Linked DNA regions of Coturnix japonica. The protein of the gene in region 3 purifies or fractionates together with the protein of the main gene of each other region. This does not show direct contact. Links are inferred from orthologs where the notes say so. Each region holds a gene or a part of one and is shown on either strand. Other genes may lie near its edges. The genes, in order: SS18, ACTL6A and SMARCD2.

Region 1 (9,797 bases), on a different chromosome or scaffold from region 3:
TTTTTAAAGCAGAGCTGTGGAGTCTTTTTCTACTGTTTCTTTAGATCTGTGGCTATTTATGAATACAGAAGCCCAGCATTTTAAAAATAGGAATGATTAATCGTCGCAAAGAAAAGGGAAATAAATGGATTCAATTTAACTGCCTGACAAAGCAAGGAAAGAGATGTGGTTCTAATTATTAGGAATGAATGATTTTACACACATACCAGTTGAATTCTATACACCATTCTCCCATGTTTTGTGTGGAAATAGGAAGGCACTTAAAAGTTTTTCATATTTAATTAGGACAGTTATTGCAAAATATGATCTTCTTCACTCAGAGGGTGGTGAGGCGCTGGCACAGCTGCCCATAGAAGCTGTGGTGCCCCATCCCTGGAGGTGCTCAAGGCCAGGTTGGATGGGGCCCTGGGCAGCTGAGCTGCTGGGGGGCAGCCCTGCCCATGGCACGGGGTGGGACTGGGTGGGCTGTGAGGTCCCTTCCAACCCTGTTAATTAACAAATCTCATCAGTTTAATCAAAGCTGCTGTGACTGCGTTCACTCAAAGCGCAGGGAATGGTAACCATGAGTCACCGTGATGTCTATCAACTTCAGCATAACAGGTTTCTGTCCGGCGCTGAGCAGAGCGGGGTCGGAATGAACCAACGCCGCGATACACAGAGGGGTGGCTGAGGAGGTCGGCATGGCGCAGGGCGGCTGTATTCAAACGGCGCAACGAGCTCTTGATGCCGCTTCTTTGCCTAGCCTTGCAAAAAAGCCTTGTCCCCCTCATGGTTACCTTCTTGCTGCTGAAAAGCGAGGAGGAGCTCGCGGCCCAACTTCGGTTCCCCGGCGGGAGCAGGATGGGCCGTCCCGCTGTGCGGGCTCCCCGCCCTCTCGCAGCTCTGTTCCCGGATCGCGGGTTGTGCGTGAGCGGGCGGGTGGGCGCGGGCTGGGCCCTGCTGTGGCCTGTACGACATGTCGGTGGCGTTCGCGGCCCCCCGGCAGCGGGGGAAGGGCGAGATCACGCCGGCCGCCATCCAGAAGGTGAGGGAGGGCTCGGGGCTTCGCGCCGTGACGGGACGGCGGGGTGGAGCGGAGCGAGGCTGAGGCCTTGGTGCGATGGAGGGCTGCGGGCCTGCAAGCGCTGTGCGAGGCCGTCATGGAAAACAGAGCCGGGCCCTGCGTAACTGTGGGCTCGGCCTACGTGGGGAGAGTGCTGGGGCCGCTGAGAAACATGGCCCTCTCCAGCTCTGCTCCTCTCCTAAAGCTTAAAGGGAAGCGGTATGGCTGGCGGCCGTGACAGGGCTGCGGAGAGAGGGAAGCGTGCCTGTGGTGTGTATGTACTAACACTGAGTATTCCGTGTTGGTGGGGGTGAGGGAGTTCAGTGCTGTGCTTTGGAGCTTAACCGTAGGCCCTCGCTCTTTTCCATGAGAGGCCCTCTCAATTCTTGCTCTGGGATCTCTCCCACTCAATGATGGCAGGCTCCTTGTGTGGGAGCTCGTCGGATACAATCAGCTTGTGGCTTAAGAAAGAACGTGGGTGTCAGCAGGGAGGGTTTTGCAGTTCAGGGCGTTACAGAAGGTATGGGACTTCAGTGGAACCTTGCACAGTACCACAACAGTCTGTGCTTCACAAATGAAGGTGGGAAATGCATATCCACCAGGTAGAAAGCTGCCTTCAGGTCACTTACTTAAGTGTGAGAATGTAGATAATTAGGTTTTTCTTGTGCTGTAGTCAAGCTAGTAATTTGATGTTAGTGTACTGGCAGAACTCTGCTATAGCTAAAGCTGGAGAATCTTTGTAACTGGCACATGTAAGTTGTCAGGAGTCTTGAAGGTGCCTTCATCCAGCCAGTAACTAGGCTGTCTTGTGATGGCAGGTGTCTGTAACTTCTTCAAAGAACTGGTTTTCCATCAGCAGTAGCTTGATAAAAAACATATAAAACAGTGCTTTCAGTCCTGTCAGGCATACAACTGTATTCCTTCTTGTTTGTTTTTCTCTGCTTTTCTCCTAGCTTTATTTCTTTATTTTCCCTAAAGATGTCCAGCCTGTATGGCCACAGTGGAGAGAACAACCATCTCGCTGGCAGTTCTGATTTCTATCTGTATTGTAGAATGGCTTAGATCGGAAGGGACTTCAAAGCCCACCCAGTCCCACCATGTACTGTGGGCACCCAGTAGCTCAGCTGCCCAGGCCCCCATCCAGACTGGCCTTGAGCACCTTCAGTTATGGGGCCCCACAGCTTCTCTCTCTGGGCAGCTTGTTCAGCACATCACCACTCCAGGTGCTAACATGCTTTAAGTAAATGCTGCCTTTCTCTAGATGCTTGGAGACTTTTTGAGGAGGTCCTTCATTCAAGGCTTCCCTTACAAGTACTCTGTGTACTGTATAAATTATACTAATTGCTTTTTCTCCGTTCTCTTTTTCTGTTGAATTTGGCCACTGGGTTTCCTTAACACTTGATGTTAGCACATATGAAGTGTGCCAGTGTAGGAGTGTGTCCGGGATCCTCTTAGGAGTTTGCAGATGTAGTTCTGCATAGTGTCAGGAGTTCAGAAACTTGGAATATTGTGGTTCTGTCTGTGGTTCCTGCTTACGGGTGATGTTTCCAGGTCTAGCAATTTCAGGAAAGATCTGTTTCTCACTGATTGTTCTCCTGTATTTTGGTGAATTGCTAGTTTGAGTTTAGGGAAGACTCAACTCTTTGCTTTATTCTTATCTGGATGTAAATCCTGAGTGGACTGCATAAGGTTCTAAGGCTTATGACCTTTGTAGTAGAGGTGGATTAGTCAAAAGGATTAACAAAGAAGTTGTCTTTTTTTTCTGGTAGAATTTGCTAAAGTTGGATCCCCAGGGAAATGGAAGTGATGTAATTATAGTGCTTGTGCTTCCCTTGTAGAATCATAAACTTGGCTAATCTCAGCCACATTCTGATTTGTGATGTTTTGATTCGGTGTTCAGAAGATGGGAAGAGCCTCAAAGATGATTAAGTTCGTATTAGTTTTGTGAAATTCAGTAGCTGAGTGTCACGTCCATATTGTAAGGGGAGAGAAGAAGTGACCAGATTTGCAGATCTAGGATGTGACACTTGATAGGCTGCAAGGATCTGAACTAGTTTTCCACTGGGGAAACCAAGAAATTGATGTAAGATTTTCCACTTAGCTGAGCAGGCTTGGATAACTTGGTTGGTAGCTCAGATTTGCCTTGGTTTTACTGAACTTCTGCCTGATCAGAGTGCAGATGAGTGGTTAAGACAGAGATATGAGCATGAGGATGTGCAAGTTTGGGAAACTTTCTTCACTAGGAGAGTGGTTAGGCCCTGGAACAGGCTGCCCAGGGAGGTTGTGGATGCCCCGTCCTTGGAGGTGTTCAAGACCAGGTTGGACGGGGCCCTGGGCAACCTGATCTAGTAAATGTGTATGTTTGGTGGCCCTGCCAGGCAGGGGGGTTGGAACTACATGATCCTTGAGGTCCCTTCCAACCCGGGTCATTCTGTGATTCTGTGAAACTAGGCTGTTTATTTTTTCCTGCTTGTTAGCATAGAACATCTTTATTTCATGTACTTCCTGCAGAAGGCTGTGAGACCTGCAGTTTCCCATGGTTTTAGAACTTTATTTTCCCCAGAAAAGTAATTAGTATGTGTTCATATTCCCAAACGCTTCTGAAATATTGTCTATTGTGCTGGTTAAACCACGCTTTAAGAGCGTGTAATTATACAGAACATTTGTAATGTAAATCTGGCTTTACTTTTCAAGGCATTTCCTTGAAACAATCTTGTATGTTAAGCTCAGTTTCTATCAGTTAACCATTACAGTGCCTTTTATTATTGGATTGTGGGCTTCAGAGGGAGAAGGAAGATTTATGCCCCAAGTCTTCAAGTTTGTTCTTTGGTTGAGATTACATAAAAACTCAGAAAACTTCCCATGAACTTCTTGTAGTTAGAATGTAAGTACTTAAATAGGGAACATCATAAATGTATTTATAATAATGACTTAAAACCCTCGTACTGGAACCTATAAAACTAAGGAGGAAGAGCGAAAGATGTAAGTAACTGGTTAAAGAAGGGCTTTCTGGAATACTAATTTTGTTTAAATTTTGTTAATTTTCTTTATTTTAAAAAAGAAATCAAACTTTTAAGAGTACAACTTACCTTCAGTTATTTTTTCCCGTAAAGAATGTTACACTTACCTCAGATTTCTTTATTCTTTCAGATGCTGGATGAAAATAACCATCTTATTCAGTGTATAATGGACTACCAAAACAAAGGGAAGACATCTGAATGCTCTCAGTAAGACATTAATCCAAATCTACTGTGGACTGGGTGGATTTCCATCTAGATCAGTTGTTGATTTATTTAGCTCACTTTGAAGGAGGACCACGCTGAGAACAGTAGAAAAATATTGCTGCAAATAATGCAGTTAATTTTTTTCTTTGCTGTGTAAATATCACTTCCATCACTGAAACATTGCAACTTGAGTAGTACAAGTTGATAGCATAATGACAGAAAAATGGGGACTGTGTAACTGAGAGATCTACCTCTGTGTTGTAATTACAGTTTGCAAAGGAGGTAGTTTCCTTCTTAGACCTTTCGAAACGATGTAATATTTCTGCTGTTTATCACTTGCCTGAGAACAAACAGACTCCACCTTAAGTTTGGCTTGCCAGAATATACCATGTAAACTTGTTGTCTAATGGAGTTTCTGGAGGGTGAGACAGCTGTGGACCTGGACAGATATTCCTCCATGTGATGACAGATGGGTTATCACAATGTGGCTGTTGAGGCCCTTTCTAAGAGGCTGGTAATGTGGGAGGAAAGCTGGAATGATGAATGGTAGGTATTTTTGTTTCAGGGGATTACTTCTATTGATATGAGTAGAGTTACTATATTAAGCTGTATGCAAGCCTGTAGTTACTCTGCTCCTGCTTACAGGCTTGTTCTTTTGACTCTGGGCTGGATGTGGATACTCTGGAATTTAGTTCTGCAGCAGAAAAAAAGTTGAACAGTGAATATCCAGGTCTCGGTCCTGATGGAATGTTTACGCTGTCCTTGGTCATGATTCATTTCGATATGATACCTCACATCTAGGGACATTAGGGAAAGAGAGCTCTTTTTATAGTGTTTCTGTTGGAAATGACATCATACAGACACGTACTCTAAATGCCTGCTTGTGACTTTGTTTAGGGTAGGAAGTGAAACAGTTGAGGTCACCATGTTTTAGGTTTAATTTGCAATACAGAAACTGTAGAGGGCAAGCAAGCCAGATCTGGCAGAAAAATTGGGAAAGGTTGGCCAGTAGGGAGATGTGAGGAAAGCACGTAGAATTCTTAAGAACAGTACTCTTGTAAGTTGTTGGAAGTTGTTTCTTGACACACTGTGACTTAAGGCCTCTTTTTCCTTTGTTCATTTTGGTAGATACCAGCAGATGCTACACACAAACTTGGTTTATCTAGCTACTATAGCTGACTCCAACCAGAACATGCAGTCTCTGCTACCAGCAGTAAGTACAAACTAGCATAACACTGAGGAAATAGGTGTAATAATTTGGATTCACGGGGAGGGGGAGATGATTGAAAAACTGTCCAAACGGTCTGCAATTTACTATGCAGTGAATACAAGATGGAATGTCTCTTCATGTCATATAAGTCTCATTAGCTCACTGCTTATGTTATGCTCACAATCCGAGTTATTTAATTGAAGGCTTATATTCTGGGATTAAGCATGTTGTGCATGCAGGATGTCTGGCTTGGCTTGCAGATGACTTAGATTTTTCTCAACTAAGAAGTCTCCTGGTGTGGCTCTTGGTCAGCTCTTACAACAGTAGTCTCTTTTTCCCCTTACATCAGGGAAAAGTGAGGTGTTTAGTTTTGTTTTACTTCTTGTTTTTTGCTGGAATATCATCCATTCTTCAGCTTTCATGGAATGGGGTTGGGTAAATATCAGCTTTGAGGTACTTTAGGTGGGTCTCTTAAATTCTTTTCTTCTCTCCTTTATCGTAAAGCAACCTCTATGCATTGTGGATAGTGCTAATGAACAAGAAATAAGGTTGCGTGGGTTTATCTTGAAACACTGCATATCTTTGGCATTGAAGCATTTGTTGGGATAATACTTGCTTCTTTTTAAAAAATAATCTGTATTTTCTCTGTATCACCGAACTTTTTATTTCAAAAGACACCACCAATTTTTCCACTATTTTTTCTGTTTGTGGAGTGGCAAGGAAAGATACAATGAGCATTAAAGTAACTTGCTATCTGACTGTGGTTATGTGTTAATCAGAAAGCTCTGGGAGTTCACTGCGAGTAACACAAGGAAGTTATTTTGTTTTTTAGTCATAAGACTTTTCTTGAATTAATATAGTCTTGATTCATTTCTGTAATATGAAGCTAAAAAGAATGTCTATAAAACAGCCATTCCTAGATACTAGTTCTTACCAACTGAAATTGAATTACTTTTTCTTTGGTCTCTGGAGAAGTGTTCTCCAATCATTGCTACTAGCGAAGCATCTTTTCAAGTTGGTACCTAGAGGACTATAGAAACGGTGCTTCATTATGTCCAACCTGTTGTGCCTGTGGAGGCTTCTCTTTATAAATCCAAGCTTGTAGCTGTGGGGGGAAGGGAAGGAAACCTTTAAGAGGGCTGTGTATGTTACTCAGCTAATATGTTCTTGGAGGCTTAATTCATATCCTGGTTCTGATGACAAGTGGAAATGAATTTGACCTTATTCTAGTCCCTGGTGCACAGCCCTGTTCTTAGAGTTGAATGTGGTGACATTCCCTTCTTAAGAAAAAAGTGAGGGTAAGGCCATGAAAGGTTTTTGCAGACCAGGACTGAAGTGCGTTTCTGCTCCTCAGTGTAAGGAATATTTTTCAGCAATGACAAAATAGTATAGCATTTTTTCTGCTTTGAATAACTGGACAGGGAATACAAAGTAATACACAATTAAACTTAGATGTTCAGTCTTAGTAAAGCATAGATGCTTTCACCTACTAAGTAAAATTGTTGAAGAATTGCTTGAAATGAAGTAACTTAATCAGATAAGAACAACTTTTTTGTTGAAGGTTTTGGAAAAAATTGTTCTTTAATCTATCTTCCCAATGAGGTTTAGCCAGGAGGATTTGGGAACGTGTGAGTTACTGCTTTTTTACTGTAAGATAAACTTCTTCAAGCTTGCTTCATTTAGTTTTTCACTTAAGACCTAAGGAAGCTGATGAAGTGTTACGTTTCAGTTCACCACACTTCTGTGGCAGCATTCGAACAGTCTTAGTAAAATTCAAGTTTTGTGGCTGACACCAATGAAATATGAAGCAAGATAATGTGTGTGAACACCTCCTTTTCTCTTTTAAGTAGTAGAATATAAAAATGTCACAGTATTGCTGTTGCAGTAGCTTCTCGTATAATTTAAGAGGGCTTAAGAGTTGTAGTAGACGAAGTAAACATTGGAGGCTGTGAGTGAAGAGAGCTGGAAAGATGTTCTGATATTGTAATAAAGTTCTTGTTTCAGTTGTATATTGTAATATTCAACATTTATGATGCGTGTCTCCAGTTACAAGAGAGCTGCCTGCACATTGGAATACAAAGGAAGCATGAGGTTAATCTTGAGTTGACCAGCCACGGCAGTGTCAATAGCAGCATTGCTCAGGGTAGCGTCTTCTGAACAGGATGGGAGTGGTGGCTAAGTCTGCAGTTGATGCAACTTTTTGTTGCATCTTACTAAGTTTACAGGTGCTTTCCTTCGACAGCAGTGGAAAATCTGTTTGTCATCACCATATTGGGTAAGCTTCCCAACAAGAGCTTGTCTTGTGTTCTTTGCTATACAGATGTATTTGGTTTCTTTTGGTCTATTTTCAAGGGAAGTAACACCAAAATATTGGTGTCCTTGAACAGTAGATGCAATTAAAGGTCATTACTGGGACTTCCAGCCCTCCCCCTGATATAGTAGGTGCAAGGAAATTTGAAGCTATGTGATGTCTAGAACTACATCTTGCTCTCTTCAGCCTTTGTTTTAGTTCTTAGGATTTCTTGAGATAATGGCATTAAAAGGTTATTACCAACTGCTGAATCATAGAATTACCCAGGTTGGAAAAAGACCTTGAAGATCATCAAGTCCAACCGCAGCTTAACCAGAACCCTAACTCTAAAAACCCTACACTAAATCATATCCCTGAGCACCACATCCAAACGGCTCTTAAACACAACCAGGGATGGCGATTCAACCATCTCCTCGGGGAGCCTACTCCAGTACCTAACTACCCTTTCTGTAAAGAATGAAATTAGACTTATTTGTTCAGGCCTTTTTCCTCTCCTGTCCCACTGCTTCTTACTGGAAATTCATGAGAGAGCCACTCATGATAACTTTTCTGAAAGAAACAAGAGGAGAAGGTCAGTCCTACACGTGTACACATTAGTGGTTTTTATAACTGCAGATAGAGAGGTCTACAATAATTATTAGATAGGGGACTTTCTGTCTTTTTAAACTCAGAAGTTTCTCATTGTTTCTCTTACACAGCGCACAGAGCTCTTGATGTCTGTGTGCACTTCAGGATTGTGATGAAAATGAAGGCTAATAATTTGTACTTTGTTACTAAAGTGAGTTAACTCTGCTAGCAAACTAAATTCTAAATGTGAAGGAAACACAGTGCTCGAGTTACAGGAAAATGTATGCGTCTTGTTACATTTTTTTTCTTGATATCATAATATTGAAAAGTTCATTAATAAAATTAATAAAGTCATTTTTTTTTCTTGCTTGAGAAATTTATCTCATAAATAAAGCTGCCTCTAGGATTTGTGTGATTCTTCCATCCGTCTTTCACAATGTAGTTCCCCTCTTGCCGCAGTCCAAATCATTGTTTTTACTAAATAGTTCTAAGATAAATTGGTGATCTAACAACTTTAGTAACTTAAAGTAACATTTGCAAGTACAACTCAAGTTCCCAAGGGTGAAAGGAATACTAAACGCATGTGACTTGTGACAAGTTATACACTAAATGTTTGAGGCAGTCTCTATTGTATGATAGTGGAAAATCTGTTAGTGCTATTTTCTTTCCTCACGTTCACAACTGGCATCAGTCTTTGAAATTTGGGCCTAATTCTTCACATAGAGAATGACAGGGTTAAATTATTTTCCAAACAGAAGCTGAAAGCAGTAACGGTATGTTATTCTGGATGAGCATTTCAGAAGTCCACAAATAACTCAAACACAAATAATAATTATGCCCCGTCCTTGGAGGTGTTCAAGACCAGGTTGGATGGGGCCCTGGGTAACCTGATCTAGTAAAGGTGTATGTTTGGTGGCCCTGCCAGGCAGGGGGGCTGGAACTACATGATCCTTGAGGTCCCTTCCAACCCGGGTCATTCTGTGATTCTGTAACTCAGGTTCAACTGTAAATTGAAGTAATAGGCATCAGGGTGTAAAAGAAAGATTCAGTGTTTCCTCTCATGAAGCAAGTGAGCTATTAGTTGTAGGTAAAGCATGAATTTTGGATAAAAATCACTCCTATTAAATGTTTAAAAAAGTAGTTTTCAGAAATACAGTAACTTCTAGAATAGATTTTTGAAAGACAAATCCTAGATAGGGGGTGATGAGCAGAATAGTAACCAAGCTAAAATCTCTGAAAAAAGGAATGGTGTGGCATTCATCATTTTTATATTGTGCAGGTACACTCCAAGGGGGATTTCTGTCAGTGTTTGTGCTCTTTAAAACAAGAAATTTAGATGCTTCTGTTTGGTGTGAAGTTTCACATTAGAGTAACTTAAACAGAAGGACCATTTCCCAGCTGTTCTTTGAACGAGAGGCAACCAGAGCAGCTCTGGCGTAGATA
Region 2 (9,897 bases), on a different chromosome or scaffold from region 3:
AGAGTATTTTCCCCACGGTGAGTGAACACGTTAACTTCTTTAAAAAGTACTTTCAGTGCTATCAGTGAAACGCTTCACATAAGGAAGGGTTTCATTTTTACTATTTTCAAAAATCTACTGGTACCATGATGATTTTCAAAAAACGGCCAAGTGAGCCATTGCAATTGTATCATAAAGTTAACTTTATCACAAAACAAATAATCAACAGGAAGGATATTCCAAAGATGATAATGCTCTTTTACATCTACCTTATTTACCTGCTGAAAACAATGAAATTTTAATTACTAAAAATACTGACATCATGTTAGTAAATGTCCTACTGTGTTAAAATTTATAGAAATATCTTTATTTGAGCAAAGTGAAGCCCCGGTACAACACTGCCTTTGCTATTACTGTTTGCCTGACAAGGACAGAAAGCACCACTGCATGTTTAGAAACCACAGAAGGCAAAGTTCAACACTGCATAGATGGCCACTGCGTGCTCTGTGATTGCCATAAACCTCTTCTTCATCCAAATCCAAGCTTCTAATTCTTTTCTACAATTGCATTTTGCTGTTGAGCCTAAATTTCTAGGCATATTTCACCTACCTTCCATTTATTATCACAGACTGCACAAAAATCTTCTCCTTGGTATTACTAAACTTACCTTTTTTAGAATAAATGTAGCATGTCCTGGGCATATTTCACATAAAAAGTTACAAACTAAAAGCCAATAAAATACTTTTAAGTATTAAATAAAGCGTTGCAAATCTTCGTTAATCATTCCCAACCACATCAACTTGATTTGACTCAGCACATGAGACTGACTCACATGAATGCACTGGGCAGCACAACAGGGCAAATCCAGATGGTGAAAGGGAAGGAGATGACTCTGGTGCAGAGCTGCAGACAGAGCACATGGCTTCCCAATGAGTCTTAGGAGGAGACTATCACAGACTCTTGCAAACATTTCAAGACATTGTGCGTCAGCCATGTTGTTATGAAATTGACGGACACAGTCTGTCCTTTAGCACAGATGCATTCAAAACTAGTGATTCCTTATTCTTGCTCCACCTTTATTCCAATTCCACCATGGCAGTCTAACACTTTGCAACTCAGATCACAGCTTCATGAGAGACAAGTTCACACAGCCAAATAGTCCAATGGGTGACTTCCACCCTAACTGGAGAAACCTGAGTAATGGATAACAAGTTTTTCCAACAAGGTTGGACAGGGGCAAGTCCAATCATTTTGACACAGGACAGGGAAAAGTCATTTAGGCCACCAACTGTGGTTGCACCTGCAGTCACTGGAGGCTTCCTTTGAGAGCAAGTAGTTCAGACAAGCCATCAACTACCAAGTCGGTCCAGCCACACTTAGGATATATGACACAACCTCAAGACTTGAATAGCTAAATGTGTCTTCAGCACCTAGGACTGCACATCTACTATTGAGTGTGAAAGCACTAGGCACACACTGTGTGGCATATTTAAGGTATATGCAAAAATGCAATTGAAAACAGCTTCCAAGCGATACAATTTAAAAGGCCTCACCTGCTCCAGCTGTGCATTTCATGTTTTTTTATTCTTGTCTGCACCTCAAAAAGCAAAATCTGATCAGATGCTAACTAGGATAGAGATATTCACGCAGTCAGTTCTAGCTGGGTTATGTATTGTCACATACTATAAAATAATGCACACTACAATCTTATCACCTGCAGAAGCAGACAAATGGCAGCACAAATCCAGTTTTTTAAATGCACTAGTTTAAAAGCATCTGAGACTTGCCCACATTAGTTCTACTCAACATCCCATCTTGCTAGATTGTTTTCTTTCTTGAGCATTCTTGATTGTAAAAAAAACAACAAAGAAGTTTTGACTTTTGGATTCCTTACCTCTGGCTGCACAAAGCCATTATTCTAAGCTGTGTGGTATCACAGTTTAAATCTACTACTGAGGCAACACAGCACCCTCCTGGGACTCTGGGAACAGTAATTTGAGCCTTCTGAGGTTAAAGACAGATTACCTGCCCAAGAAATGGGAGACCTGTGCTCCTTGCTCCCCATTCTATTGTGGCCAAATCTTTATTCTGGCAGTGAGAAGAAGCATAAGGAATCAAAACACTCCAGCATAATGGTAAGGTTCAGCTGATACAAAGATCTTCTGTTTACCAGACCGAGCCAACTACCCAACTGAAAGTAGCTTTGTTTGTGCAGATGAGACGTACTAAGCCAGCACAGGTTTGGTCCTGCTGCCAAGCTAATAAACCCTGCAAGAATCCAAAGTAACTTCAGACCAAGCTCTAAGCCTGAAACAGTAAGTGCTGCCAGCTCTGAGCCCAATGAGATATCCGTACACAAGGGACTCATCTCAGAAAAGCCATACAGGCTCACTTAAGTTGGTTCTGGCCAGAGCTGGCTTAGCCCAGTAAACTTATCTCAGTACAAGTTCCAGGCAAACTCTGCTTCACACCTAAGCTGGTTCAGCAAATAAACACTACATTGAGAACAAGGAAAATGGCCCAAAGTCTTCTAGTTCGGATTCACAGAAACCACTTCAGGTTCAGTAACATGTAGTAGCATATAGTATAGCATATAGTATAGGTTATTTTTTATTATATAGTATAGATTATAGTTAGTATAGGTTATTTTTCTTTTCTTTTTTCCCCTCCACTCTCCAGTGCATCCTAGCACTGCTATGGCAGATAAAATACATTCAATGCTTCTATTTACTTTGACTTTATAACTCTTGTTTCTGTGGAAAACATGCAAAAAATAAAGAAATAAAACAAAGGTATTCAGTTACATTATGCACAGTGGTGGCAGAACTCTAGATAGGATAGCCTACAAAAATTCGATGAAATAATCTTAGATTTACATCTCTTTAAGCTGAAAAAAAAGATTCCTGGACTCCATTTCTCCTCTGCATTGAATTTTGAGAGGCCAACCACACTGTTGTAAAGTAAATGCAAAGTCACTGTATAATACTATTAACACAGTGGCGATGCTGCATGATGTAACTACCAACACAACTGCAAAACAGTGGGAAAAAAAAACAAGGCTAAGACAGCTAACAGCCTGAACTTCCCTCCCCAGATCCTCCAGGCTTCTTTGCACAGATTTAGTCTCTTATCTTTGCACTCACCAAATCCTGAGGCTTCCAGACAACAGCAGGACTTGCAGCATACATTCAGTTCTCACTATCGGCACCAGGCAATTGCTGAGCAGGAAAGATTGGTCGTGCACAGGAACGCCCTCTCCCCATGCTGCACAGCCACACGCCTCTTCTGCTGGCACCACTGGGAGATCTCAAGTGCTGCAAAAGTTACAGATAAATGAAGCAGCAGACGGCTGTCTTGGTGTCTCACAGAATGACCTGGGTTGGAAGGGACCTCAAGGATCATGAAGTTCCAACCCCCCTGGGCCCCCTGTCTCACCCACAAAGCTATCATAAGCCACTCTTGGGGAGAGCAGGGTCTGCCCCAAAGCATCAGTTACCACAGGGATGTTATGAACCACTATGAAAACAAAGCCCAAGTACAGGCACAAGCTGAAGAAACGTCCCCCAGTGTTTTAACACCCATTTTGCTTTACAGCCTTCCCCAACTGCAATTAATTCATCCTTCTCCACCAACTCTACCTTGGGTATTAGTGCCACGTGCTAGAAATCACTATAACACATTAAAGGGCACCATAAAATAAATCAAAGCACACCAACATTACACAGTACAACTAGTGGCAAAGAAAGATTTGTGCTGATCTTCCTCATGCAAACACCTATAAAACTCTTTGAAAAGGCTGACAATAGCAGGACATGGGGAAATGGTTTGAAGTTAAAAGAGGGAAGATTTAGGTTGGATGTTAGGGGGAAGTTCTTCACTAGGAGAGTGGTCAGGCCCTGGAACAGGCTGCCCAGGGAGGTTGTGGATGCCCCGTCCTTGGAGGTGTTCAAGGCCAGGTTGGACGGGGCCCTGGGCAACCTGATCTAGTAAAGGTGTATGTTTGGTGGCCCTGCCATGCAGGGGGGTTGGAACTACATGATCCTTGTGGTCCCTTCCAACCCGGGTCATTCTGTGATCCTGTGGCACACCCACCTCAAGAGCTCCTCCCTCAGCTCCTCCCTCAGCTCCTCCTCCAACTCCTCCCTCAGCTCCTCCCGCCCCTCTCTCCTCACACCGCCCTTCCCGCGCACTGCACCTACACTTGCTTGCTCTCACTCTCCTCTACCAAGCTCCTCACTTCCCGCCTCATGATTGGCTACTCATAAGCAAGCCCCTCCTCCCTCCCTTCTCTGATTGGCCGCTGTGCCCACTCAGCCGTTCTGTTGGGTAACGCTCTGCAGTGCGGGCGGGTGGGCGGACGGCGGCGGCGCTGCCATTGGCGGGAAGGCGCGGGCCTGCGAGCTGCGCTGAGCCGGGCGGCGGGGCGAGAGACCGAGTGCTATTGTTAGCACAGCGCTGAGCAGCGGGCAGCCATGAGCGGCGGTGTGTACGGCGGAGGTGAGTCTGATATAACGACACTGTTGAGCTCCCTCAGGCCCGGCTCCCTCCCGCCGCATCGCTCCGTGTGTGAGGAGAGGAGGCCGCCGCGGGCCCAGGGTCCGTCCGACCCGTCTGGGTCACCTGCAGGGATGGGGCACACACAGCAGTGCCAGGGTCTCACTGCCCTCTCTGAAAAATTGCCCCCTAACATGCGACCTAAATCTCTTCCTTTAGTGTGGAACCATTCCCCATCGTCCTGTCACTATCAAACCATGTAGAAAGTCAGTTTCCCTCTTGTTTATAAGCTCCCTGTAAGGCTGCAACAAACTGTCACTGGCACCTTCTCCAAGCTAAGCAAAGCCAGCTCCCTTTCTCCATAGCAGAGGAGCTTCAGCCCTTTGATTGTCTTGACCCTCCTCTGGACTCACTCCAACATCTCATTCTTATGCTGGGGGCCACAGGCCTGAATGTGGTACAACAGATGGGACTTGGCGAGGGCAGGGCACAAGGGGATGGTCACCTTCCTTGCTCTGCTGGCCACCCCTCCCCTGATGCAGCTCAGGATGCTGTTGGCTTTCTAGGCTGAAAGCACACACTGCTGGCTCATGTCCAGCTGTCTGAGTCTCAAGTCCTGTGCAACACCTTGTACGTGGCCTTGTTGAATGTCATGAAGTTCATGTGGACTCGCTTCGCAAGCCTGTGTTTAGATGCAGCTCTCGTCTGTTAAAATTGCCCTTTTTCTTTTGCCAATGAAAGGTATTGCAGTGTCCTGGTTACAGCCTATCTGTAACCTCCTGGTGGCTCTCAGTTAGCTTGAATTCTGAATAGAGAAATTGCTCTGTGTCTCAGGAAAGATGCTTTATCATATTGGGCTTTTTTTTGTTTGTTTGTTTGTTTTCTGGCAAGCAAAGCAGACAAGAGATAAGTTCAGGTCAGGATTGCAGTAGAGCACAATAACCATTCACTACTTCTTTGTTAACAATCTTTGCAGATGAAGTTGGGGCTCTTGTTTTTGACATTGGCTCGTATACAGTGAGAGCAGGCTATGCAGGCGAAGACTGTCCAAAGGTAAGAATCTTTATGAACTCAGTGGGATTACAATTGGAGCTTGAACTTGTTTATTAGTCATAAGCTTCCAGAATATACTGTTTATTATTATTTAAGGAAAACTCTGAATTTTATTAGCCCCCTAAAAAACAAACCAATGAAAAACAAAACCAAAAACCAACAAAACAACCCACATCCAAAATGAATAACCTTCATCAATATTTTACCTTTTGCTTTACAGGTTGATTTTCCAACAGCTATAGGCGTGGTGCTAGAAAGAGACAATGGCAGCACTCTGATGGAGATAGATGGTGACAAAGGCAAACAAGGGGGCCCAACGTACTACATAGACACCAATGCCCTGAGAGTCCCAAGGGAAAATATGGAGGCCATTTCACCTTTAAAAAATGGAATGAGTATGGTGCTCTGTCTTTTTTAGCTGTCTTTAAGATACAATTGTTAGGCTGCAACAAGTCATAGCTTTCATGTAAACAGATGCTATCCATGTCAACTGTTTTTTCCTTTGGACTTAGAAAGCAGGCTCGTAAAGAAACGGTTCTGCTTTCACTTAAGATATTTTAATACGATAATGAGCATTTTTATGTCTTAATGGGAGACTTGTAGATTCTTGTTTATTTGATGGCTTTAATTTAGCTGTCTCCTTTGATAAAACAATTAAGAAACAAGTTTTTGGAAATAGTTCCTAATATTGTTCCTGTAACGTGTATGGACAGAGGCTATCAGCCATAAGAATGGCTCAATTTACAAAATGTCAGTGGACTTTTATTGTAACTTATTTATTTATTATTATTTATAATAACAATTCTTATTTGCTGTCATGATGCTTAAAAAAATATAGATGAGAATTTGGCAAAGCAGGAGGGGTATAGGGCTGCTGAGGACGGCTTTTGTCTGAAGAGCTCTTAGGAAAAAAAAAAACATCAGGAAAACTTTATGTGGATTTATGAAGTAGATCAAAAGTTAGAAGTAACTAATCTGCTTGCTTCGATGTCGTTGCAGTTGAAGACTGGGATAGTTTCCAGGCAATTTTGGATCACACTTACAAGATGCATATTAAATCTGAAGCGAGTTTGCATCCTGTCCTTATGTCTGAAGCACCAGTGAGTAAAAGGAGCTTTGCATTGTGAGGAGACTTATCAGTATCTTCTTGCTGAATCTATAGACATTAGTCTTGGAGAAACCCAGCACTGGCTTGTAGGTTATGAGTGTTAAAACTGAACTACAGAAGTAACATTTAAAAATATCATGCAGGTTCTGGAAAGTATTCTCAATAGGAAAAATGTCAAAAAAAAGCCCAAATTTGAAAGAATTTCTATGCGTTTCATTAGAACACACTTACTATGTGTTACTGTATTTCATGTATTTAAAAAAAAAAAAAAAAAAGTAGTATAAAATCAAAAATAACCTCACTTGACAGCACAGAATAAAAGCAAAAAGTTGTCTGAATGTCTTCATATATTACACTTAATCCATCTTTGCATGCAATCAGCCTGCCATCTAACGTGACAGGGAATAACACGTGTAGTGGAGTTTTAATTTCGTTTCAGCAAATGCTCCTGTAACATAAATGAGGTGCATGAACACAGATTTCTGGAGAAAAACGTGAACAAAGTTTCTGTCATTTAGTTGTGGAAGTGCTGAGTCACAGCTTGAAGCAGTGATTGAGCACCTCAATCACTGGGCAGGGCCAACTCAGGGATGCATTCAATGTACCAACCCCTTCCTAGACCTAATTTAAGGGTTGGCAGTGAGAGTCTTTTGTTGGGGATCCCTTTTACCTGAAGCTTCTAAGGATAAGTAGTTTTTTTTCCTTCATGTCTGTGTCTATGGCTGCTCTATTTGGGCTGGTTCTCATTTGCTGTAGCTGAAGGCTTTGCCACTCTGTTGTTATTGCTGTCTATCACATTAGAGTGTTATGCTTGAGGGGCATAAAATCTGAAGGCATTAAAGTAGACCTGTAATCCAAGAGTTTTGCCTACTTTCTGTAAATTTACTGTCTGTGCACTTATATTGAAGATATGTATTAATGTTTTGAAGTAGTATTAGAACAATACAGTTTCTAAGGAAATAAATTATTAGGAATCTGTTTCTCTATAGAATTTTGATTTAATTTGAAATTACAACTTAAATAATTCCAATTACTTCCTTGCTTTGTTTGCTTTCTTTTATTATGCTCAAACAATCCTCAAGATAGGTGTATCTTCTTATTTACTTGCTTGTATTTTCTTTTTCTAGTGGAATACCAGAGCAAAGCGTGAGAAGCTGACGGAATTGATGTTCGAACACTACAACATCCCTGCTTTTTTCTTGTGTAAAACTGCTGTTCTAACAGCGTATCCTTTGCAATATTGTGCTGGGTTTTTGTGGTTTTTATAGGACCGAAATGCTGTCATCCAAACTACTGAATACTGTAACTAGACATTGATGTTCCTATAGCCTTAAGATGAATATTTGTAGCCTTATTCAAGTGCTAACATGTTTTCACCTTTAGAATCTAAATGAGTTGGATGCGTATTTAGGTTACTGATGGAATTGTCTTGGATTTATTGACTTGGACTGTCATCTTTCTCCAAAGCTAAGAGTTCTGTTGATGGGGTTGCACACTTTGTAGGAAGGTGATGTGTCTGGGCAAACAGCAAACCTGATTGTAGAGCCAAGGAATTAAGCACTGGCATTCTTGTTCCTAATTGTGCTTAAATTGTATGGTACTTTTTTAAGGGGAAAATTACACTATTTTCTTTAATAGTTTTGACTAGTTTTGCTAATGGGAGATCTACAGGTCTCATCTTGGATAGCGGAGCAACACATACCACAGCTATCCCAGTGCATGATGGATATGTACTTCAGCAAGGTAAAGTTTGCATGGGTAATAGCACAGCAGTATCAAAGTCAAGTTAACTTGCTTTCTGCTTTTATAGTTTAACTACTGCTTTTAAATATATCTATTCTTTTAAATATGAAAAACAAAACAAAACCAAACACCCAACCATGTCTCTGATAAGTAAGTGTTGGGAGAGTTCATTCTGATTTCAGTGCTTTACAAGTTAGGTGAGGTGGGTTGTTGTTGCTTTTGTCTTTTAGGTATTGTAAAATCACCACTAGCAGGAGACTTCATTACTATGCAGTGCAGAGAACTGTTTCAGGAAATGAATATAGAGATAATTCCTCCATATATGATTGCTTCAAAGGTGGGAAAGTAACTTCACTTAGTGTTTGTTTGAGGGGAAGGAGCTTAAATGGTGAACTGACAGTTATGTCCTCTGCAACCTCAGGAGGCAGTTCGTGAGGGGTCACCAGCGAATTGGAAGAGAAAAGAGAAGTTACCCCAGGTCACTAGGTCTTGGCACAACTACATGTGTAATGTAAGTGTGTCACTTCTCCAACTCAGCCTCCCTGGGCATCTTGTAACAAAGTCTTGTTTGCAAGCATGCGATGTTTTCCTCTTCAAGAACTAGAAAATATTTAAAACAAAACAAAACAATTCAGTTCTGTAAGTTCTATTGAATTACTGACTGACGTTCTTGTAACCATATAATTCTTATCTCCACAGTGTGTCATTCAGGACTTCCAAGCTTCTGTCCTCCAAGTATCAGATTCAACCTATGATGAACAGTATGTCACTGTTTTCCTCCTTGTGAAATTAGTTAACAGTTGTGCATGGAATGCTTTGCCTGTTCATTGCTGTTGGCTTGTTTTATTGAGAGATGAAGCAAAGATAAATAACATCTGTTCATTTCTTTAAGTAGAGAAACAGTATATGTCTAGGTGGTGGCTTATGTAATATTCCATAAGATCATAATATTATCAAAAGCATCATTTAAATAAATCACAGTATTCCCATTGAAACTTTGGTTTATACCGGGGTAACATCTTGTTTATGTTGTACCTTAATGTGTTGCTTTCTGAATGCCGTGTAGGGTAGCTGCACAGATGCCAACGGTTCATTACGAGTTCCCCAATGGTTATAACTGTGACTTTGGTGCTGAGCGTCTCAAAATTCCTGAGGGATTATTTGACCCTTCTAATGTAAAGGTAAAACAACTATAATATGTAATAATTAGGAGGCCTTAAATTACTGGTTTATCACCTGGCTTCCCTTTGTGTGGTGCTTATATCATGTGGTTCTCTTATGAGTTAAATTGGTCTGCACTGATTTGTTAGGGTTGGGGTAGTAACAGAAGAAACATCGTTCAAGAACGAGCTGAGAAGTGCTGCATGTTTTCTTGGGAAAACAAGAGTACTTTTTGCTTTCCATGAGAATGTTTTGCTCTCATTAGTAAATCAGGTTAATTCAGTGTTTTATATCCTTTTATGTACTTTGGGTTCTTTTGTTTGCAGTGACGATGCGAATTCCTAATTTTAATTTTAGGG
Region 3 (9,797 bases):
CCCCAAAGGGGGTATTGCCCAGCACTCCCACAGCCCTACCTGATGGTGTGGTTGATGATGATGGGATCCGGGTGCTGCAGGAGCCCTGCTAACTTCATGGGGATCTCAGAGAAGCGCATACGGACACAGTTGAAGATCTGGAGGGGTAAAAGCAGAGCATTTAGCTGCCAGTATCAGGGGCTCCTTCCACCCACCCACCTGAGCAGGAACAAGGTTTTGCTCAACCTTGCTTTGTGCATGCCAAGCTGATAGTTGCACAACAGAGCATGGGGAGGGGGACAGTGACCACTCCAAGCCAGGAACAAATGCTTTTCTTGGCTTTGAAGGATGGGGAATGGTGCTCTCCTCCCCAGCAGGGACCCACATAGAAACAAGAGGGCAAGGGCATCCCAGAGGGAGGTGAAGGAGAGCCGTGGACTCACCTGTCGGAAGTAGCGGTTGCAGTTGATGTACTCCTTCTCGTGGCTGTCCTGCAGCTTGTTGTGCTTGATGTACAGCCAGAGCGCCTGCATGATGCTGGCACGGGTCTGGGTGTGCACCCCCAGCAGGCGAGCCAGGCGAGGGTCCAGTTTGTATTGTGGTGGCTGCAGGGACATGCAGAATTAAGGGCATGTTTGGCATGTGGCCCTTCAGTGAGCACAGTGTCCTGCACAGCCCTCGTGCTGCTGCAGGCTGAGGGCTCATTCCTAGAGCTCCTCTCCACTGCTTTCTGTCCCTGTTCTGTATCACAGCACATTACCCAACTGCCTCCCTCATTCAAGACCCTCCCCAGCTTGTTTCAGCCCACTCAGCTGTGCTGGAGGGCAGCATGGCACTGCTAACGCCTTACCTGGTGATCCAGCATCAGCAGCAGGGTGCACTTCACATTGACATCGCCAGGACGCTTCACTTGGAAGCCATCAGTCTCCTGGGTCGTGGGCAGACGGTGCCACTAGGAATAAAGGGACACTGTTTAACTTGGTTTCACCAACACTGATGAGCTCCAGCCCAGCTGTAGGCAGTTCAGGTGGACTACGGGAGCACTGGATTGGGCTGAATGCTTGATTCCAATTGCTCAAACAGCTCCCAGAGTCACTGTGGGATCACAGTCCTGCTTCACCCACTATAGGGGCTCGATGCCACAGCAGCTCTCACAAACCATCCCACCTAATGGGGATTTACCTCCAACAAGGGGGTATCACCACAGGAATCAGTATTTGCCATAAGTACAGTCACAAAACTGAAGGAGCCTGGGGCTGCCCAAGCCATCCATCAGAGCAGATGCCTCCCAGCTCCACCCATGGACACGAGGGAGTTAAGAACCAACCCTGGGGCTATCATGGAGCAAGCAGCCTGCAGCTGGGAGCCATCCAGGTGAGAGGGGCTGGGCTGGCCTCACCGGGCTGCCAGCCAGCACCACTGAGCTGCAAACTGCAGCCTAGGAAGTACAGCAACGTGATCCTCGGGGATGGCTCAGCACTGCTGGGTAAGCAGGGCTACCTCCCATTGCACTGAACAGCTCTCATCCCTCCTGGGGTGCAGCCCCGCAGTGCAGCCAAGGACATCTCACCTCCACCAAATGGTTGTCTGGCCCGTACAGCTCTTTGTCCAGCTCGATGACGAGGCTCTTGAAAAAGGAGGAGAACTTCCTCTTCTGTTTGCTTGGCTGCAAAACATTGCGTGCGAGGCTTGGCCTTGATGCTGCCAACACCATGGAGGGCCCCAGCCCAAAACACCGCCTGCCTCCAGCAGCCAGGGAGAAAAAGGCTGCATCTATCCCAGCCAGGCTCTCAGCACAGAGCACCAGAGCTCTCAGCCCTCCTCCCACTGCCACGTTGATCCCTGCCCAGATCCTTACGTCCTCCAGCAGTTTGCCCTCCACGCGTAGCTCCCAAGAGGCCACACGCTCACCACCCTCCCCTTCTTCTTTGGCCGGGGTGAAAGTGTTGGAGATGTAAATCCTCAGCTTCCGCTTTTGCTGTGGAATAGGAAAACAAAGAGTGGGGATGCTTGGAGCGAGAGGATGGCTGCAAGCTCCCATTTCCTACCTCTACCCTCCCTCAGCTGCTTGCCCTCCTGGCCAGCCACGCACCGTCAGTGGTTTCTTGATGGCCTCTTGAATCTCCATCCTCTTCCGAGCGATGGTTTGGTCCAGCTTGCGCTCAAAGGCCAGGAGGTCCATGTAGGCCTGAGATTCTGGGACAAGCTCCCGGATCTATCAAATGATAAAAGTCAGTCCCTCATGTGCTGAAGGTGGTGCTGCATCCCATTTCAAGCCCAGCATCTTTACCAGCCCACAGAGCTGCACTGATTGGAGCTTGTCACTGTACCTGCTCCACATCACAGGCAGGGATTATAACCCTGCATTGTCAAGAGGAACCCCAAGAGAAAAGCTTGGGAATGACCAGAGGTCTGCATCGCAAGCCAGGGCTGCTCCCTGCTCACCCAAAGCCCTGCTTGTTTTAACTGTGCACATCCCTCTCTCTAACCTACAAGACTGAAACGTTCCAGGCATTTCATCCAATTCATCATGCAGCACGAGGTTCAATGAGATCGTCCTACCATGGGGGTTTCATCGTCAACTCCTTCCATGCACCAAAGTGACACTCACCCTCTGTGGCAGGACTTTGTCAGCCATCTTCCTCCTCTTCACCCTGCAATTAGAATGAAGTAAAAGAAATCATCCTGCAGCAACCTCAGGACACTGCAGATCTCATTGGCTGCCTGTCTTGGGGGACACAGCGTGGGGGCTCTTTTGGCCCCACCCAGGCCATGCATGGGGCCAGGCTTTGGGGAGTGCTGTGATGCCATGGGGATGGATCAGTTCAAGCCAGGTTCCAAGATCCTACTGCAGCAAACAACGTGATCCAAGGGGAAATGCCCCCATCAGCTACAGGACAGGCATTTCAGAACTGCAGGAAGGGAATGAAGAAAGGCTGTAAAAGCAACTAATAGCAGAAACCTTGGAAGCAAGTGGATAAGACACTGTACCCCAGGAACAGAGAGAAACACATGGGAAAATGCTCTCTTACTTGGCCCCATTTTTCACAGTTACGTTATAGCCCAGCATGCACAGGACAGTTCCTTTCCCTTGACAGTACCTAAAGCAACAGGGCAGCAAATGTGGCACTAAAATGTGGCACTACTGCTGCCATCCTGAGGCATCCCAGGATTTGGCCACTAAGGGCTGGTGCTGCCACCCTTATAATCCCCTTCCTTCCACAGCCAGTCAGGAGCAGGGAAGCTCAGCAGAGCTCTGTGCACAGCCCTGAGCTCCCCAGCACAGCTGATCCCACGCAGCCACAGCTTTATCCAGCTGCTGACGTCCCTGTTCAGTGGGCGAGGACCCATCAGCCTTGTGTCCTTAATCCCCAGCTTGCTCTGGAGCACAGAATGGATGCACAGCCCTGGCATAGAGACACTGGTCACTCCCTGCAAAGGGATCATAAAGCCATCAGCCTCACTGTGCAGCAAGGGCAGGGAACAGGACCAGAACATCCATTAGGACTGAGGGACCCTGAGGAATAACCTCCAGTAATCTAGAAGCCCTCACAGAAACAGGAACAGAGCAGAGGGATTAGCAGCATCATAAACAAGCGAGGAGCTGCTGGCAAAACCTCATGGCTCACAGAGACCATCCCAAGTAAACAGCCACAGATCTGGGGAGGATCCCTGCAACCTGCCAGAAGCTCTCTGCAGTTCTGCCTGTCTCCTTCCAGGGCTGGGAATTGAGTGTCCATCTATCTCTGTGCCTGCCCAGGACAGCACAAAGCCCCTGAGAACAGGGAATGGTTCTGACAAGCTGCTGCTTAAGCTAAAGCATTCAGCTGTTTGGTTAGCATTGGGGAGATCAGAGCATGGGGAAGCTGCATGCCAAGTGATGCACCCCAGCCTGACCCACCACCCCAGCACTGAGCCCTGGCTGCTTTCCCACCAGCTGCGGTGCCAACAACTGGGCCATGTTGTAGGTTTTAGTGGAGAAATGCAACCAGAAAACAGCAACCAGATGTAGAGAGTGAACCCCTCCGCTCCAGACTGGCTGAGGGTGCTCCTGTGTCAGCCCTTACCCTCTCCTCTGGGTGGCCATGGGTGGCTGGGACTGGGGAGCCAGCAGACGCTTCCTGAAGGGATCCATCATGGACTGTGGCAGGCCGGGTCGCAGTGGGGATGCTGCTCCATATGGGGGTGCTCCTGGAGGTCCCACTTGCAGCCCTGCCATGGGCATACGGCTGCCTGGTGGCATCCCGGGGCGCTGGCAGGGGAGAGAGAGACAAGAGAGGGGGGTGTTAAACATGGGCCCCTTAACCAGGGCAAGGACATCAGGAGGGTGGCCTTCATTCCTGATGGATGTAGTGCTGAATCCTTTCACTTCCAGGCACCTACACAGGGCGTTTACAACCCCCCCCCCCCGTGGGATGTTTAACTTCTGTTGCATGAATTCCAGCCTGGAGCAGTTCTTGTGGTCTCTATCTCCAGCATCAGCAGCTGACTCTGGGTCTGCCCCATGCACAGCCCTTGTGTGCTCAACAAAAGCTCCCAGCACCCCACTGCTGCTCAGCCCTACTTGCTCCAGCACGCTCTGCCTGCTCTCTGTTATTCTCTGATCCTCCAGCTCCCCCCTGGCAAGGAACTGGTGAAGCTGGGAAAGCCACCGAGCCAGCAGAACAGCATTTCTTCCCCTCTGCAGGTTCCCTGACATGCCAAGACAATTCCTGCAGCTCCCCTGCTGCCTTCTGACCCACATCCTGCAGACAGACACAGAGCTTCGGTGCACAGGAGCTAGCAAAGCCAACTCGTTATCCCAAAGGGGCCAGGAGTCCAGCAAGGAGAGCTCAGCCGCAGGCAATGCTGCAGGCTGACGAGCTTATCTGCATGTAGGCATTAATTCCAGTGCAAATCCCACATAAGATCACCAGCAGCAGCCAGCCTGGCCTCAGCAGCTTTTAAAGGCAGGCTCAGAGCCACACTGTGGGTGCTTGGAGCCAAAACCCACTCACCTCCTTCATTGGAATAGCCCAAAAGCCTATAAATGCAAACAACAGAATTGCTGAGGCTGCTGGACAATATATGAACAGCTCTTGCTCCACAGTCCATAGCCACGGGCATCCCTCCCAAGTGCCAAACCCAGCAGGAAACCCCCAAAATACACCAGCTTCAGCATGGAGGAGCATTCCACAGCTGGAAAGCCAAAGAGCAGCAGCCCAGGAGGTGGCAGGATGGGGACTGCAGGAGGAATTCATCAAGTACACGCACGAAACCCATTGCACAACCATCTGCTGCTTTCACCTTTGCTTGGCTTCCCTTTGAAGCTGCTCGCCAACCTGCCTGAGCTACGAGGCACACAAGCTTTTCCTAACAGCCCCCAGATGTTTTGCTCCCTTTGATCAGCCCCGTTTTTGGCAATGCCTCGCTGCAAACAGGGCTGCACAGGCTTTGTCTGCAGGGTTCTGCTCGCTGCAAGGCACTGCCTGGGGCTGTGCATGGCTACAGCAGGATGGGCGCTGCAGGAACCGTGTTGATTTGCCTGCAAGGGCTAATGGAGAACAAACGGGCAAGAAAAGAGGCTGTGACACTTGTGATTAGCAGCAAAGACATATGGAAACCCTCAGAACGGAGTCATTTCGCCTTTTTTCCCCTCCAATAGGAAAAAAGGGAAGGGGGAATCCTCCATGTGCATCTATTTCTCAGTTTGCCCTCAAGATTTGCAATGGAAAAGTGTCTGAGCAAAGCAAGGCAGCCTTTGCTGTGGCCATGCAGTCCTGCTAAGGGCAAACAGCCCCCTCGGCTCTGGACACGCAAACACAGCACAGCCATAAATCCCCAGCTAAGCCATTAAGCAGCATTACAGCCCCAGCAGGGTGAAGCCTCCAGCACCCTTGAGAAGCCCTGCAAATTGAGCAGGATGCAAAGAGGGCTTAAATTCAGGAAATTTTATTAGAGCAGCTCAAATGGTGACCTTCCTTATATCCTTCCTGGCTAACAGATATCCTCTCCCCTTCATTTGGGGCAGCACTGTGGTCCTACCCCTATCAGATGCTTCTTCATCCTCCCCTCTCTGCCCCACAACCTCCTCCTCTTCCTCCTCCCACCACCAACAGGGCGGACAAAGGGCAAAATCTCGCAAGCAGGAAAGAGCTGGATGGCATCCAGCCCTCCCCACAGAGAATGAGTAGAGCCATTTGGAAATGGGACAAAAAACAGCTTGTTTCTGTTCCCTGCCAAAGCTGGAAGAACGAATCGGGCTGGCCGCGGAGCAGAGGTTCATCCCAGGTCAGTGCACAGGCCTCTTGCATTTGGGGAGCTCTGTTTAGAGTCAGCTTCAATTGGAGCAAGCAGGGGCTGGAATGCTTCTTGATGGACAGTCTGCAGCATGACAGGAGCATTGCAGCGTGCCAAAGGCCTCTTCTTGAGGAAGGACAGGCCAGAAAGCAGATGCTGGTAGCAGAAAGGGGGAAATAAAGGAGGGTGGGGTGGTGAGCAGCCATAACATTGAAGGATAGATCTGCAAGAAGGGTGAAGATTACGCTGGAAGAAAAGCAGTAAGTCAGAAATCAGCCTCTCTCCAGAACCCAGCAGTGAGGGGGTGCTGCACAAACCTCCTGCACTGAGCTCACCCCTCCCACTGTGGCAATGCCAGGACCACGAGCAGGGTGTGAGCTCCCCAGCATGCAAGAAGGCTGCAATGCATTGAGCACCAGCAGCTCCCTGCTGGCTCCCCAAGCAGAGCCTTGAGGAAGGCTCATAAAACCCCCCAAACTGCATCGAGCTGTCCTGATGCAATGCCCCATTTCCACTCAGTTTGCTCTTGGCACCCACTAAATAATTGGGGAATGAAAACCCATGTGTGTGTCCTCACCCAAAAGGTGCCGGGGGGCAGCTCTTCCTGCCAGCCCCCCCTGTGCATCCCACATCACTTCCTGCTGTGGTGTGGGCTAAAGCAAACCCTGCCCCAACAACAGGAACCCAGCTCTGCACTGGGCTGCTCAGCCCCAACAAAAGCACTGCTTGGGATGAACTGAAACCCCTGCAGCACACCCCAAAACACTTGCATTGCAAACCCCATCCTGCAAGGGGAGGAGACAAAGTGAACATGAGCAGGAAGCTGTTGCTGCTGGTGAGGCGTCCGTCCTTCGCTGCAAGCTCTTGGATGCAGGCAGGCTGCTGCGATGCTCAGATCAGCTGCAATCCAGTGCTCCAGCAGCAGGAGCCTCAGCTACAAAACTTGGTGAGGAAGCATTAAATTAAAGAGCGGACAGCAAAGCAACAGGCAGCGAAGCCGAGCAGACTGAGGACACGTGCTGGCAACACGTCAAGCACCAGCTGAGATATCTGGGCTCAGGCAAACTTGCCCACGTGTGGCTTTGCAGCTGCAGATGATCCAGGTCATGGGCTGCAAGCAGTGCAGGCTGCAGCGCTCACACCAGGACCCAGCAGCCATGCTGACACTGAAGGGGAAAGGCCACATTAAGTGAAGTTTTCTCAGCAGCTTCCACACCGCAGGGACTTGGCAAGAGAACAGAAGGGATGCACGAGTTACAGCCTGGGACTTTCACCTCGTGCTGATGGCCATGGAGAGCACAGGGTAAGAGGGGGAAGGAGGTGTAAAACAAAGAGCAACCTAAGGAACAGAGGCTGCAGCAGGCAGAGAAAGAACTCAGGGGATTTATGCCTTAAACACAAGCAGGAACAAGGAAGAAAGGTGTTGGGTTCCTGCTTGAAAACGTGGCAGCCTCAAGTAATACAAAGGGGGAAGCAATGGGAAGAGTGGAAAACACTGCTCAGATGTGCAGGGAAAGGCTCTGAGGGTCCCTATGGAGGAAGACAGAGCAAAGGCCTCCAGCAGGAAGCTTTGGAGATGCTCCCACCGAGCAGAACCTCCATGAGCCTTAAGGAGAAACAAAGGGTGCCCTGAGCTCTGCTGCTGCCTGCTTCTATCCAGCACTGAGAGCACAGCATTGCTCTGCTTTGTGTCACGGCTTCATTCTGCTGGATGCTCAGCCTCTGATGAAACCTGCCTTGGAAACAGTCCCCCACTGGGAAGGGTGGGTCATGCAGCAATGCAAGCTGCAGATCCCTGCTGTGTGCTGCACTTCCAGCCTTGCTGCCGTCCCCAGGCCAACCATGGGACAAGCACCCAGCTCTCCTCTCCTAATGGGATCCAGCAGGTCTGTTTGGAAGCAGAAAGCTCCAACTCCTTCCATGCACAGCCACGCTTCCTCCAATATCACTTTGTTAGCAGTTGTTTGGCTTGCAACAGCCCTTCCGTCCCACGGAAATGGGATTCCTGCTTGTCAGCAAGTGCCAATGAAATGCTTTTAACGGGGCACTTCATTAACTCCACTTCTTCTTTTTTTTGCCACTGATCTACGCCAGCAAAGCGACAGCACAGGGCAACCTCAAGGCCATTCTGCACAGCCCCTCCTCCACTGCATCACAGAGCTGAGCCCATTCCCTACCACAGCATCAACCTGATAACTCGGGAAGGATCTCCCAAGCCTGAAACCTCCATTACAACAAACAGAGGGAACTCCTGATGGATTTATGCTAACCTGAGCCTTGGGATGGGGGTGGACACACCACCGTGCAGCTGATCGCCCATTGCATGAACACACTCCCACTCCTTTCTGCTCTGGAAACATCAGTGCTAGAGTGAGTTGTCCTCCCCATTTCCCTTCTTGAGCTGCTGGTGCATAGCCAGGCAGGCAAGGGATGTCAAAGGATTAACATACATTTAATAATCCACTGATTAAAGAGCCCCTAAGCACCCGCTGCCATACATGAGGGCTGCTGTGTTCTCCTAGCCAGCATAATGCAGCAGAAGGAGCCTGACTCACTGGTTACCCCCTGAGAAGTCCTGCGGGCACCGCAGTTTTGACCACTTGGTGGGGAGGAGCTGCTTTAAACAGGCCTGCAAATTGCAAAACAAAAGACAGACCGGATCGATCAGCCCCCAATCCCCTCCCTGTGCCAGCAAACTGCCGGCCAGACACGACAACAACGACTTGCATTACCCAAACACTGCAGCACTGCCATATGCTCCCAGTCTCACCCTACCCCATCCATACGCTCCCAACACCTGCCATGAGTGCAGTATTATGGCCAGCATGGGATAAGGGGGGGGGGTGAAAGCAAACATATGTGCCCCTGTTTACCCACAACAGAGCGATGCCCGCTGGGTTCTGCAACCTGGGAAGGTCGGGATGAAGCCTCCCTATAGCTCTGAGTCACATTACAGCCAATGCAGGGCCCTATTGGCCTGGCTGAGCTCATCTCAGTTTTCACTTCGGGGTTTTTCAGCTTCACGGGTTGTTTCTCCTCCTTTGATACAGCAGTTGGAAATTCCCCCCATGTGGATGACTGGATTTCTTCGGTTTGGAACTCAGAACTCATCGCAGAACGAGGCTTCTCCATAAACAACCCCACAACACGTGGGGGCTGAACCAACAGCAGAAAAGGCAGCAGAAAGAGAGCAGAGTCCACAGCTTCCAGCACTGCAGCGGGTCACATTTACTCCCCTTTATCCCCATTCCTTCCCTTTAACGTTCACCATCACAGCTCCATCTCCGGAGCTGGAAATGCACAAGGATGGCTGTGATGGACCCTCCTGGGCCAGGACCCCCACAGCACAGCCTGGGGGGGTACGGGACCACCTCCATAGGGCAGAACACTTCTCCGTTAACTTTTTAATGGGGGTGGGGGGCCAGGACAGCCGCCCCTATGGAGCCCCGCTCCCCCCCCACCGCCAGGGCCCCACGTTCAGGAAGCAGCGCCGCTTCCTCCGGGCCCAAAAGGCCTCTGAACCCCCACGGCCCCTTTGG

The links.
Region 1: the proteins of SMARCD2 (region 3) and SS18 purify together in Homo sapiens (affinity purification with mass spectrometry; 4 studies listed by BioGRID and IntAct, counting the BioPlex papers as one, with this or other methods). This does not show direct contact. The link is inferred for Coturnix japonica from reciprocal best matches to the Homo sapiens genes SMARCD2 and SS18.
Region 2: the proteins of SMARCD2 (region 3) and ACTL6A fractionate together in Homo sapiens (co-fractionation; 5 studies listed by BioGRID and IntAct, with this or other methods). This does not show direct contact. The link is inferred for Coturnix japonica from reciprocal best matches to the Homo sapiens genes SMARCD2 and ACTL6A.

The regions. Positions count from the first base shown.
Region 1 is NC_029517.1:93,980,771-93,990,567, reverse strand, and holds the start of SS18 (protein SSXT), read left to right. Parts: upstream 1-870; 5' UTR 871-955; coding exon 956-1,024; intron 1,025-4,192; coding exon 4,193-4,269; intron 4,270-5,394; coding exon 5,395-5,479; intron 5,480-9,797. UniProt on the Homo sapiens protein: Appears to function synergistically with RBM14 as a transcriptional coactivator. Isoform 1 and isoform 2 function in nuclear receptor coactivation. Isoform 1 and isoform 2 function in general transcriptional coactivation.
Region 2 is NC_029524.1:15,351,917-15,361,813, reverse strand, and holds the start of ACTL6A (actin-like protein 6A), read left to right. Parts: upstream 1-4,313; 5' UTR 4,314-4,451; coding exon 4,452-4,476; intron 4,477-5,449; coding exon 5,450-5,526; intron 5,527-5,746; coding exon 5,747-5,921; intron 5,922-6,525; coding exon 6,526-6,626; intron 6,627-7,761; coding exon 7,762-7,859; intron 7,860-8,282; coding exon 8,283-8,377; intron 8,378-8,607; coding exon 8,608-8,714; intron 8,715-8,798; coding exon 8,799-8,888; intron 8,889-9,076; coding exon 9,077-9,138; intron 9,139-9,443; coding exon 9,444-9,558; intron 9,559-9,895; coding exon 9,896-9,897.
Region 3 is NC_029542.1:1,253,363-1,263,159, forward strand, and holds part of SMARCD2 (SWI/SNF-related matrix-associated actin-dependent regulator of chromatin subfamily D member 2), read right to left. Parts: intron 4,232-9,797; coding exon 4,047-4,231; intron 2,634-4,046; coding exon 2,591-2,633; intron 2,195-2,590; coding exon 2,072-2,194; intron 1,958-2,071; coding exon 1,838-1,957; intron 1,646-1,837; coding exon 1,550-1,645; intron 932-1,549; coding exon 830-931; intron 585-829; coding exon 423-584; intron 138-422; coding exon 40-137; intron 1-39. UniProt on the Homo sapiens protein: Involved in transcriptional activation and repression of select genes by chromatin remodeling (alteration of DNA-nucleosome topology).